2 linked regions of the Rattus norvegicus genome follow. The protein of the gene in region 1 interacts with the protein of each later gene in a biochemical or structural test. Links are inferred from orthologs where the notes say so. Each region holds a gene or a part of one and is shown on either strand. Other genes may lie near its edges.

The links.
Region 2: of the proteins of Wnk1 (region 1) and Klhl3, one has a biochemical effect on the other in vitro, tested with the Homo sapiens proteins (2 studies listed by BioGRID). The link is inferred for Rattus norvegicus from reciprocal best matches to the Homo sapiens genes WNK1 and KLHL3.

What each region holds. Positions count from the first base shown.
Region 1 is NC_086022.1:154,834,084-154,840,461, reverse strand, and holds part of Wnk1 (serine/threonine-protein kinase WNK1), read left to right. Parts: coding exon of another isoform or gene 1-162; intron 163-2,272; coding exon 2,273-3,511; intron 3,512-5,227; coding exon 5,228-5,308; intron 5,309-6,378. UniProt on the Homo sapiens protein: Serine/threonine-protein kinase component of the WNK1-SPAK/OSR1 kinase cascade, which acts as a key regulator of blood pressure and regulatory volume increase by promoting ion influx.
Region 2 is NC_086035.1:6,631,390-6,637,767, forward strand, and holds part of Klhl3 (kelch-like protein 3), read left to right. Parts: intron 1-535; coding exon 536-637; intron 638-3,179; coding exon 3,180-3,308; intron 3,309-6,348; coding exon 6,349-6,378. UniProt on the Homo sapiens protein: Substrate-specific adapter of a BCR (BTB-CUL3-RBX1) E3 ubiquitin ligase complex that acts as a regulator of ion transport in the distal nephron.

The sequences.
Region 1 (6,378 bases):
CCAGTGCTGTCTGCACCTCTTTGTCCTTCCCTCCTTCGGAGTGCCCCTGAGGAAACTTTTGCGGAAAAACTCTCTAAAGCATTGGAGAGTGTCCTGCCTATGCACTCTGCCTCCCAGCGCAAGCACCGACGCTCCAGCCTGCCTTCCCTCTTTGTCACTACTGTATGTAACTGTAAACTTCCTGACAAGTGAAAAACCATTACCAATGAATACATCCGGGCATAGAGACTATATGCTTAAAAAAGCAAAACTAAACTATTAGCAAATGTTGTGTTTTAAGATAACTATTCCTATAGGAAACATTTTTGTAATAAGACTTTAAATGGGAATAAAAAGCAAAGAGGCAATGAAAGAGAATGCTTATAATGTCATTAGCATATATTAATAGAGTTTTTATTATACTTTTCTATCTTCTATTGATAAAAGGGTTCTCATTTTAATATCTTAGCAAGAAGTATGTGGATTACTTAATTCAACTCATTAGCCTAATCAAAAGTAGAGTCTACCAAACACTGACCAAGTATGTTTTCTCCTCAGTTTATTCTTAAGAAATACAACTAATTGAGTCCTTTGTTTTTGGTTTTTTGGTTTTTTTGGAGCTGAGGCCCAAACCCAGGACCTTGCGCTTCCTAGGCAAGCGCTCTACCACTGAGCTAAATCCCCAACCCCAAGTCCTTTGTTTTTTAAACCAATCAATCGAGGAGTAAAAGTTGATTTTAATTCAGTCATTTGTATGAAGTGAAATGTCGGGAAATCAAAAGGCTATTTCCTGTCTGGGAAGCACTTTCTTTTCACCTCTTAGATTACATAAAGTGGGGCATAGACTCGAGTATATTAGATACATATATAACATGTAATTTTCCTTGTGTCCATTAATGTCTGTGAAACATACAACCTCTCAAATTACATTAATTGTTATGAGACCTTGTTTGCTGCTTTTCCAAACAGAATATTCTGAACTAATAACACCAGAAACTTAAGACTTTTACTTAGGAAAAAGATTAACTGTACAATGTTTTATAGCCTCAGGACACAAATTGAATAATCAATAAAATATGAGCACTTTGATTTTATGGAGAAATACTTTAGCAGGTTGAAGAAATGGCTCCGTGACTAAAGTGCTTGCTGCACAAGCATGGAGACCTGAATGCAGATTACCATAACCCATGTGAAGCCTGGTGTGGTAGATACTGTCCATAATCTCGTGTTCCTATTTTGCGATGGGAGAGGATAATAGACTCTGTAGAATCTTATGTGCCTTGCAGTCTGTTGTATACATAATCAAGCAACAGACACCTGTCTCTGACAAGTTGGGGATGATGTCCAACATTTCAGGTTGTCCTCTGTTTTTATGTTGTTAAGGATTGAGCCTGGGCTCTTACATAAGCTCACTTTAGAAGTCCAGTGCATGGTAGAGAAGTATGTATATTGCATTTGGCAAGCTTAGTCTAAATTCTGGAAATAAAACATGCTATTAAATCAGGTTTGCCTTTTTGCCTGATTTGTCAGAATTAGGAAACTCATGGTATTCAGCCCTTAGCAATGATCAGAAGAATGATTTAGCACCTGTAGCTTGTTTTATAGTAAAACTATTAATTGTAGCTTTAAACACAGAAAAGAGCAACAAGTCATTTATCTTTTTATTTGTTTTTTTAAGACAGTGCTCAGGTCTTGTACTCTTACATTCCCCTGTCTTAGCCTCTTGGGTGCTAACATTATTATAAGTATGTTCCACTCTTTTCGGCTTATCTTATACCAAATACCAAAGACCTCTTCTGATTTATACTAGTTAAATTTCTACTGTTAGTTAATGAAAAATAACTGAAGCCTCTAATAGACTAATGTTGTAGCACTATGGAACAGTAGCTTAAATTGAAATATATTTTAAATTATAAAAATAATAAGGTTATTTATTGTCCTTTAATATTCTAACTTTAGCTCTTTCCATTGACAAACATTTTAAGAATGAACACATTTATTATAGGTAAAATAGAATAATTACTTGGGAAGTTGTAATTTATGCCTTTGCTTTGATGGAGCAAGTTTGTGGGAAAGCAGCTTTTTCTTTCATTCAAGGAAGTGCCACAGATTGACTTTATTGGCCCTGGATGTATTTAATGGATTTTTGCTATAAATTCCAAAAGCATTGTTAGTTATTAAAATTTTGGTGTAGCCACTTCATGGGGTTACACAGAACTATCCAGCTGTGCATGTCTGATGTAATTTTACATATTGAATGTATGAATTACTTGTCTTATTCATGTTGATACAGCCTCAGTCCGTGGCGCATCCGTGTGGGGGGACCCCAACATACCCAGAATCACAGATATTTTTCCCAACTATTCATGAACGTCCAGTTTCTTTTTCACCACCTCCTACCTGTCCACCGAAAGTAGCCATTTCCCAGCGACGTAAGAGTACCTCCTTCCTGGAAGCTCAAACTCGCCACTTCCAACCCCTGCTGAGGACTGTTGGCCAAAATCATCTTCCACCTGGTGGCAGCCCAACTAACTGGACACCAGAGGCCATAGTTATGTTGGGTACTACAGCCAATAGAGTAAATAGAGAGCTATGTGAGATGCAGGTCCAACCTGTGTTTGAGACAACCCAGATTTACAGTGACTATAGACCTGGACTAGTACTGGCAGAAGAAGCTCACTATTTTATTCCTCAGGAAACAGTATATCTAGCTGGGGTGCATTACCAGGCCCATGCGGCAGGACAGTATGAGGGTATTTCATACAACTCACCAGTACTGTCAAGTCCTATGAAACAGATAACTGAACAGAAGCCAGTGCCTGGGTGCCCTGCCTCAAGTTCTGTCTTTGAATTTCCTTCTGGACAGGCTTTCCTAGTAGGACACCTTCAGAATTTAAGATTAGATTCTGGACCAAGTCCAGCATCACCCCTGTCTAGTATTTCTGCGCCTAACAGTACAGATGCTACACATTTGAAATTTCACCCTGTCTTTGTACCTCATTCTGCACCAGCTGTGTTAACTCATAGCAATGAGAACAGAAGCAACTGTGTATTTGAATTTCATGCTCAAACACCAAGTTCCTCTTCAGGAGAAGGAGGTGGGATTTTACCTCAACGTGTTTACCGAAATCGACAGGTTGCAGTGGACTCAAGTCAGGAAGAACTGTCTCCTCAGTCAGTTGGATTACACTGCCACCTGCAGCCTGTTACTGAAGAACAGCGTAATAACCATACCCCAGAATTGACCATTTCTGTGGTAGAACCTATGGGACAAAACTGGCCAGTAGGAAGCCCAGAATATTCCAGTGATTCCTCTCAAATTACTTCTTCAGATATCAGTGATTTTCAATCACCTCCCCCTACAGGGGGAACAGCTGCACCTTTTGGCTCTGACGTCTCATTGCCCTATATTCGCCTGCCTCAGACAGTGTTACAAGAATCCCCACTATTCTTCTGTTTCCCCCAAGGAACCACATCTCAGCAGGTCTTATCTGCTTCATATTCTTCAGGAGGATCTGCACTCCATCCACAGGTTATAGGAAAACTTTCACAATTCTTTTAAAATACCCTATTATGCACCAATGCATTTAAATTCTCTGTCTCATTTCCCTGAATCATGGATTTATAAGAAATGTTATTTTCTTAGTAGGATTTCTTTTGTGGTTATAAATATATGTACTAAAAAAATGAACTTTAAAGTGGAAAATACCTGGTTTACCTGTGATTTTAGTTGTCAGAATCAATGACTAATATCTGTGGAATTTTGTGGTAGTAGTAAAAATGCAATTGTCTGTCAGTCTTGATTATTTATAGTAAGATGATTTAGTATATAATTGCTTCTTCTAAATAAGTTTTTAAAAATGAGAAACAAACCATAAAGCAAAATGGCTTTTTTGGTGTCATGTTAAGAAACACAGAACTTTTCATCATAAGAACTTAAGAAAACATAATTTAGGAGTTTAGCTTAATAAATGAAGGTGCCATTTTGAGATGGTATCCGTCAAATCACTATACTAAAGATATTAATAAAATATTAAACTAAAATTAAGGACTATGTCTAATATTAATGACTATTAGAGCCTATTATATAATGTTTTTATTAGGTTTTCATGAGTTTATGATAACATATTACATAGTTGGGAACAGTAGATCTTTCAGACCCTGTTCTCAATAAATACATGTAAAACTTTAATCACACAGGTGAGCGTATATACATACTAATGAACATTTACACAAAGACATAGAAGTAAGGCAGTCAGCAATGACTATCTCTTATCAGTTATTTAGAGTAGTGTTTAAGAAGCAAAAGGACCCTGAAATTTAAACAGTGTGGACATGCTGTATGCTTACATTATCCTCTAAGCTTTGCAAAGGAAAAATATTTTTTTTAAAGAAAATAGATAATTAAAGTTTTAGTGGAGTATGATACATCCATGTAAACTTCTGCTACATTGGAATGAAACAGTAAAGGTCTAGCCTTCTCATTTTCTTAACGTGTTTATATACATAGTATACGTGGATTAATTTTCCTAACATATATTCTTACACTCTATTCTTAGTTAATTTGACTTCTTGTTAATTGGAATGCACTGTTCAGTTTCTCAGACCCAACGTGGTTGACATTCTGGGTTGGTTAATCCTTTATTTTGAGTGAGATTCCTCTGGTCGTCATAGAATTTTATTTATTTATTTATTTATTTTTAGTAGTATCTCTTATAAGTAGCAGCCATTTCCCCTAGTTAACAATCAGAATGACTCAAGATATTTCTACATTGCCTGGACAACCGTTATATGCCTGTTTAGGAGTTGGTTTCTAACAGTTCTTTCACATTTCTCATCAGAGTTACTACAATACTACAAGAAAACTCAAAAGGGAACCAAATTAACAGTTTTGAATGTGGTTTTCTTTAATTGTCAAGAATAAATTTTTTCATATTGATATCTTACCACATTTTCCCTGTGACAATTTTATTGTGAATCTGACTATTCAAGCCAGCTAAAACTGGAACTATCAATGTGTTTGTGGTTTTGTCTTTCTGTTTGTGTTTACTTGAGATGTGATCAGAAATGTTCTATGATCTTTTTTCTGAACTTACCTTACCAAAAAATCCGAGGTCGGTCTTGTACTACAGCATTAAGCTGATGTTTCATTTTGATCAAGCAATCTTCTCAGGATCTGAAGTATTTATACAAAAATCTAAACTTTGTATATAAACTTTCTAATTTGTATGTGCTTTTTGTTCTTCAGGCACAGGGGCAGAACCAGGGCCAGCCATCAAGTAGTTTAGCAGGGGTTCTATCTTCACAACCCGTCCAACATCCTCAGCAGGTAAAAATGTCACATTGCTATATTAATGTTTTAGCAGTAGCCACAGGCACTGTTTTATATCTATATCAGTAGATTTCTGATATAAATGGGTTGCTAAGTTTTTGAAAGAGTAATTTTCATAACATGTTTTATGTACCTATGAGCAATTTAAGAGATAAGTGTTGAAAAGAATAATTGTGGACTGGAGAGATGGCTCAGAGGTTAACAGCACTGGCTGCTCTTCAGAGGTCCTGAATTCAATTCCCAGCAACTACATGCTGGCTCTCAACCATCTGTAATGAAAGCAGATGCCCTTGCCTGGTGTGGAGGCATACATGCTGGCAGAGTGCTATAATAAATCTTTTTTTAAAAAAGAGAATTGTTATATAGTTATAAATTATATCTCCCTTCCTAAGTGATTTTATGCATAAAGTAAACCATACAAAGAATATCTTTGTTTCTATATATGTTTATGACTTGTCCATGTAAGAGTATTAATTCTAGCATTTGGGAAGCAGAGGCAGGTGACTCTCTTGAGATGAAGGTATACACATGGTCTAAGAGCAGGTTCCAGCATGGCCATGCGTAGTGAAAGAATCCTTATCAGGAATGATTAAATAAGACGAGTGTATTTTGGTGCTTTTAAAATTTGGTAGTTGTAATTTGATGATACAAAATCATTCTGTTAGGACAAAAGTATTTCCAGGTATCTTATAAAAATCCAAGGCACTCATTATGGTGTGTGAATAAGTAACTTACCTTTATACAGGTGCCAACCAAATAATTGTATTAGATATATCAAGACGAAGGTTTTGTGCTGGCTACTTTTACTTCAACTTAACACAAGCTAAAGTCATCAGGGAGGAGGGAGCTTCGATTGAAAAATTGCTTCTATAAAGTTAGGCTGTAGGCAAGCCTGTAGGGGATTTTCTTAATTAGTAATTTATATAGGAGGGCACAGCCTATTGGAGCTGGTGTCACTCTTGGACTGGTAGTGCTGGGTTCTATAAGAGCTTCTTGGCAAGCTAAGCCAATAAGTAGATCACTTCCATGGCCTCTGCATTGGCTCCTGACCCAGGTTCCTGCCCTGT
Region 2 (6,378 bases), on another chromosome or scaffold:
AACCCTATAGTTGTTACGACTCCAGCCAGGACATCTGTGTCCCTGGTAGCAAGAAACAGGAAGGGTCACCCCTGCATCGGAGATGCCGAGGGCATCCTAGAAATCTCCATCAGACTTCTGCCAAGGGCTCAGGGTCACCTAGCTGCATGGCATCGTGGGAGATATATTTTTAGTCATCCAGCTTGTAAAATAGAAGACATAGAAGGGAGGTCGGGACCGGTGCCCGGTGGGGCATCCTCAGGTATTTGTTTCGGGTCTTACAAACGTTCCACTCTGAAAGTTTAATGGTTCACATCTACGGCAGAGTTGGGATGGACCCCTCCCATCTTGCCCGCTTCCCTGCATGCCATGTCTTGGTGGTCAGTGTTCACCTTACGTAGATTGAGGAGTTACTGTGGCCACATGCTAGGCAGAGGTGTACCACGCTGGATATCAAGTCTGTAGCCCTGTCTTGGTCTCTTCCCAGTCTCACCGTCCCTTACACGTCAGGGTGAGGTCTGCGGCTATAGAAATCCCATGATTCTCTTCTCCCCAGGGCTGGCATCCGTAGAAGCCTACAGCTACAAGACCAATGAGTGGTTCTTCGTGGCCCCAATGAACACGAGGCGGAGCAGCGTGGGAGTGGGTGTCGTGGAGGGTAAGGAGGTCGCAGAGGGTGGTGGCTGCTCCTGCCCTAGCCCGTGGGTCTTGTCCTGAGTACAGCATTTTGCTTGATGCTCCCTCTACTGTGACTCCACTCCTCAGGTCACTGGCCGGAGTTAAGTTCCTTGTCTCTAGTAAACAGACAAGGAGGGCCGAGACTTGGTGGGAATGCTCCTGGGCCAATGCTAAGAAGGGGTTAGCAGGTTGGGGGAGAAAGAGGAGACTTGGGGGGAAGTGAGAACTTGTCCCTTGGGCACCTCTGTAAGTATCTCTGCTAACTGTGGGGAATGGGAAATAAGTAGGGAGCCCAGAGTCGACACACACAAACTGGGGCACAGTGTAGCAGGGAGGGGTGATAATTATGCTTGGCTAACACTCTGCTCACCTTCATGTGTTGCATGCTAGCGGGGTCATGAGAAAGACGGGCTGCTTCTTTTTCAGGTCTGACATGTCTCGGGATAGGCTAGGTGTCGGGTGTGGTCTAAGCAGGAGGGTGTGGCCTAAGCAGGAGGGTGTGGCCGGGGCAGGAGGGTGTGGCCTAGACAGGAGGGTGTGGCTTAGGCAGGATGGTGTGGCCGAGGCAGGAGGGTGTGGCCTAGACAGGAGGGTGTGGCTTAGGCAGGAGGGTGTGGCCAGATCGGAGGCTTAGCCAGACGTTCTTAAAACATCTTTCTCTTATTCTTTCAAACCCTCCGGAAGAACTCAGAGGATGGAGTCCTTGTATCATGATAGTAAATAGCAGAGCAGTCCTGAAGGTCTTCTGACTCCTAATCTGGATCCGGAGACGGGTCTCAATTGCTGATAGGTAGGAGCTGTGGGCTCAGTACCCATGCAGAGGCCAGGATTCCGTCCCTCTATCCGGACAAATTGTATCCTCTTGACGAGGCAGACATTGATTTGCCAGCCAGATCCGAGAGCTTTGTCTAGCTAGCTTCTCATTTCCCTTCTTGTTCCTCAGGCAGGAACGGCAAACAGACCCAGGGTTAAAAACAGCAGACGCTTGCGCATACACTCAGGGAGAGACCTTGAGTGGCTGCTTAGCCGATACCAGGTTGGAATGGTTGACGGGAATGGTTAGCGAAGGTGTCTTGATGGTAGAAATTGAAAACACTGCCCACGACAGGGGCTGTGTCAGTGTCAGTCGCGGAAGTGCAGGCAAATGGCTTGCCCCGCAGACGTAGAGGGAAGCCGGGAGGAAAGCACCTGACACCCTGTGGGCTGTGTGTGCTGCCTCAAGAGAGCAGAAAATGTTTCTAAGAACGTGTAGGAGGCACTGGAGTGGACTGTGCTTTGTAACTGCCGAGGACTCAGATTTTTTCTGCACAGTTCCTTCTCCCGGCACGCCCTCTCCTTGCCAAGGTCATGCAGTCTGAATGACCCTGAACCACTAGGGGATAATTTGCTCATTGCCACCTAGAAGAATCCCTCGTAAGGGCAAGCTATGATGTGGGTTGGAGCGTGGACAGAAATGCTCAACAGAGCAGAGGGAGAGTCGCAGAACTCTCCTAAAAATGGGAACCACCTGAGCTGGCACGCGAGGGGAGAGCGGCCTAGGTGAATTTGTTTGTGTGATTTGACCTTGTGAGGGAGGAGCTGTGCAGGAGTTCTTTTCCAGAAAGGTCACCTGAAAAAAAGACTTGGAGAAAAATGCAGCTCAGCAATATAGAATTACTTGATGGTACAGCGCCGTTTTGGACCTGAGAAGCTAACAGTGTAATTGTGGATTTTCACATCCACTATGTTAGGGACTCATATAATGCCCCCTAAATTCTCGATTAGGTAATTCTAACCCTGGGTTTATTTAGCCTGCAGCTAGTGTCCATTTGGTCTGTGGCTGGTGTCATAGTACCCTGTAGATCTGAGGTCCATAGGTGAAGTAGGACTTCTTTCCCTGTCCCCACAGAAGGAACTCTCCTACCTTGTCTAATACTATATGTTAAACCCCATGTGTTTGAATCCTTGTCCCTTGCTCTCAGCTCCCAGCCTCAGATGGACATGACTCTTCCCCCACAGGAGCTCAGCATTATTTTTATTTAGGAACGTTGATGATACTTCAGGGTTCTCGTATGTGGCTCAGAGGACAAAGTAATTGGCTCGCAGAAAAATCCCAGCTGCCTCAGCCCTGGGCACACACAGAACGCTTCACCCAGGGCTTGGGCCCTCTTTTAGGAAACTTCAGCATTGCTTCTAAGCATCTTGGGGCTTCAGAGCAGAGAGAAGGCAGATATGTGGGGGGAGATGTGCCCTGTGTGTGGCGAGCAAGCCAGGTCCTCCCGGAAGGAGGAGACAGAGGTACCTCAGTGGATTTAAGTTGGAGCATCAGGGCTGAGAGATGGCTCAGTGGTTAAGAGCACTGACTGTTCTTCCAGAGGTCCTGAGTTCAATTCCCAGCAACCACATGGTGGCTTACAACCATCTGTAATCAGATCTGATGCCCTCTTCTGGTGTGTCTGAAGACAGCTACAGTGTACTCATATAGAATAAATAAATCTTGTCAGTGCCACTGATGCCACCCTCAGTCATTCTGTCTATTTCAGGGAAGCTGTATGCCGTTGGAGGTTACGATGGGGCTTCCAGGCAGTGCCTGAGCACCGTGGAGCAGTACAACCCAGCCACCAACGAGTGGATATACGTGGCAGACATGAGCACCCGACGCAGTGGCGCTGGTACGTGAGAGCCTCGGGGTGCGGGAGAGCACGGGGAGGGGATACAGGCTGAGGCTAGAGACAACCCCCTGAGCTGTATCTTGTTTCCCTCATCCTGTCTCTCCTCTGGTTGTAAGTAACCCGACCACTGCCACACATCCAGTGGCGCTCACACAAGGATCAGCCTTTCCCAGGGACTTCTTACTCTGCTCGAAAGGCATTGTCACCTTTACTGCCCCGTCTTTACAATTTCCCCATGGCCCAGGCTAGCCTCGAGGTCACCAATAGCCCAGGCTATACCAGAGCATTCGTTTGCGCTCAGGCCTACATCTCTGGGAAGTACAGACCTACTAGGTGCCAGGTGATGTCATGATACAAATATTCCCAGGCTGCCCTGGGACTCGTGACCTCCTGCTTCAGCCTCTGGGATCACAGGTGTGCCTGGCCGATGCCTCCACCCTCCCACTCACTCCTCACCTCACCTCAGTTCACCAAACACTTGATTCCTCTGACCAGAGTTTGAAAGTAAGTCCTGCCCGAGATGGATCACTTTGCCTGAGGTTATAGAATTGGAGACTTGGAGAGTTAGAAATCTCTTTCTGAGGTGATTGATTTTAGCCCTCTGATAGTGAGCCTTGTCCCACCCTGAGGAGGACAGGTGCTATTGCCTTGGTTTAGCTAAGAAGCCTCCCTGGCCAGCTTGAAGCCGGTGTCTTGGGTAAAGGCTGGCATATGGCTGGAGATAAGCCTTGGTCCCCCATGCCCACGTTTTTCTCTATCACGGAGAAGTAATGGCCTCCCAAATAGTTTTCTATCTCTGTCACGTGAGGGAAGTCCAGGCACTTAGGGGCTGTTGCAGCAACTCCATCCTTTCTCATCCGTCTTCTCGGGAGCCACGGTCTGCGAGAGCAAGCCGGGGCCTTGGCCAGTTTCTGGGGCTCCTGGTGACTGATGTGATTCTTGGTTTGGGGCCTCATGACTACTGAAAACAGAAGCTGCCTGCCCTCCTCATGCCCATCCCCCGTCCCGTCTGGTTTTGGAGACTGGACTGTGATCGATCATACATATACATCCTTGTCTAGCATTTTGTGAAAACTAGGTTGTTTTAATTTCTTTAAAAAAAGAAGTATATATATTGGCGTATACGTTGGTGGGCCATGAAGTTGAATGTCTGCACGGGTTCCATTTCTGAAGCATGTGTTTTAGGGGTTTTTCGGGGGAGCCCTCTCTGCTAATCCTGACAACTTGGCCCCTCGTGAATGCCTTGAAGTCAAGAGACCTAAGGATTTAGATCTGAGTGTGCTTGACCTCGCCCTGTCAACTTGGCCAACCCCATTCCCCACCACTGACATTTAATACCAAAGCGCAGGCTGTCCGTGTTCGCAAAGGGCCAGCTCCATTCATAAATCCTGTGACCCCCTCCATCCCCATCCTCATGGTTTAGTGATTATAGCTTCTAACAACTTCTATTTACTTTCTTAGAATCCATGTGTGACTTGGGCCAAGTGCTAAAGGCCTGTGGCAGTAACGCCCCTTCCCTACTGGATGCTCAGAGGGTGGTTGGGGTGGACGTCACCTGTCCCAACCTTGGCTGGAGCCCCCAGACAGTGCCATTACTGTGGTTTCTGTTTCCAGGAGGCCCAGACCTTGGCCACGAAGAGCTCTTTGCTCAGATTACTGTGGAACCCTCCTCGGACAGAACACTGTCCCCGGCTCCCTTTCTTTAATGCTTTGCTCTGATAAAGAGTTAGGGATGTGTCAATGCTAGCACTGGGAGCCCATGTACTTGTCTCAGTGGCTGCTGGTGACAGCCAAAGACCTAGTGACAGGAAGGCTCTGAGTTCCAGCTCCCTGAGGCCCCATGTGGCTCTACACGGGAATCTATGAGCAGGCTGCCAAGGGTTGTGCGAGGGTTGCTGGGGGAATGTCCAGGTGGCTCTTGCTCCCTCATTAGTAGACAGCGGAAGCAGAGGGATAGACATGGTGGTGGAAAGAGACCATCTCAGGGTCCGGGAAGTGTCTGTTCCTGCTCACCCTGGAGGAGGGGAAGAGGTGAAGCAACTGGGGCCTACTGAATTTTCTGAATCTCACAACCTGACATCAGGCATTGTTGGCACAACAGCACCATCTGCTGCTAGTTTAGGGCAACTGCTAGGAACCACAGGCCACCTGCTATGACTTCTGGCAGGGATGATGCATTACACCCTGTCATTTAGACAGTATCTGCAGGAGCCTATCACCAGCGGCCTCAGGGAAACAGACCAGGGCATGACATAAGCAGTTCCTGACCTCATGAAGCCTGTAGTCTCCAGATCCAGCCACCAGACCCACGGCCTGGCTGCACATGGAATTCACCGAGACACCCCTTTGGGCTTCTGACCGGTGTCTCTGGGACTAAGGTTTTATTTCCCCAGAAAGTACCCAGCAGAAAGGATACAGCCGGTCCACAGAAGGCAACAGTCCGTGGAATCACAGGCACATTCCAATTCTCTTTCTCCATGAATGTGGGAGGGAAAGAGCCACCCAGAGGGGGATGTTGGAAAAGCAGGTCCAGGTGTCCCAGCTGCCAGGCAAGCGGTCCTCACTGGCCCTCTCTCTTCCTGAATGACCTGTATCTCATTGCAGCAAAGAACTGCTGGGCTCCTCCCCCAGGTCAGGTCTGATGCTGGCTGCCATCAAGGAGAAGAGGGGCTGAAGGAACAGGCTGGCGGGCAGGGTGTCTCCCCATCAATGACCACAGCACCTGGCCTTGTCTCAACAGATACAAACCTGAATAATAAGATTCTGAGGGAAATATACACACATATATATTTACATTTTAAAAGCAGAAACGGGGTTACCTTGGTTTTTCACCTCATTGCTTGCAGGCTGCCTGTCTTATGGGGAGCCAGGCGGGGTACCCCTACATTGGTTTTACAGATTAGGGCATTGGGGCCCAGGGAGACAGAACTTGCTCCCCAAGTCACCCTGCTGGCCATAGCTATCCAGAGTTGTGTATGCGGCCTCTTGGATTCTGGTTCTTGTAGTGAGCCTGAGTCTGGGACACTGCTCTGCCTTTCAGGGGTCGGGGTGCTCAGTGGACAGCTGTATG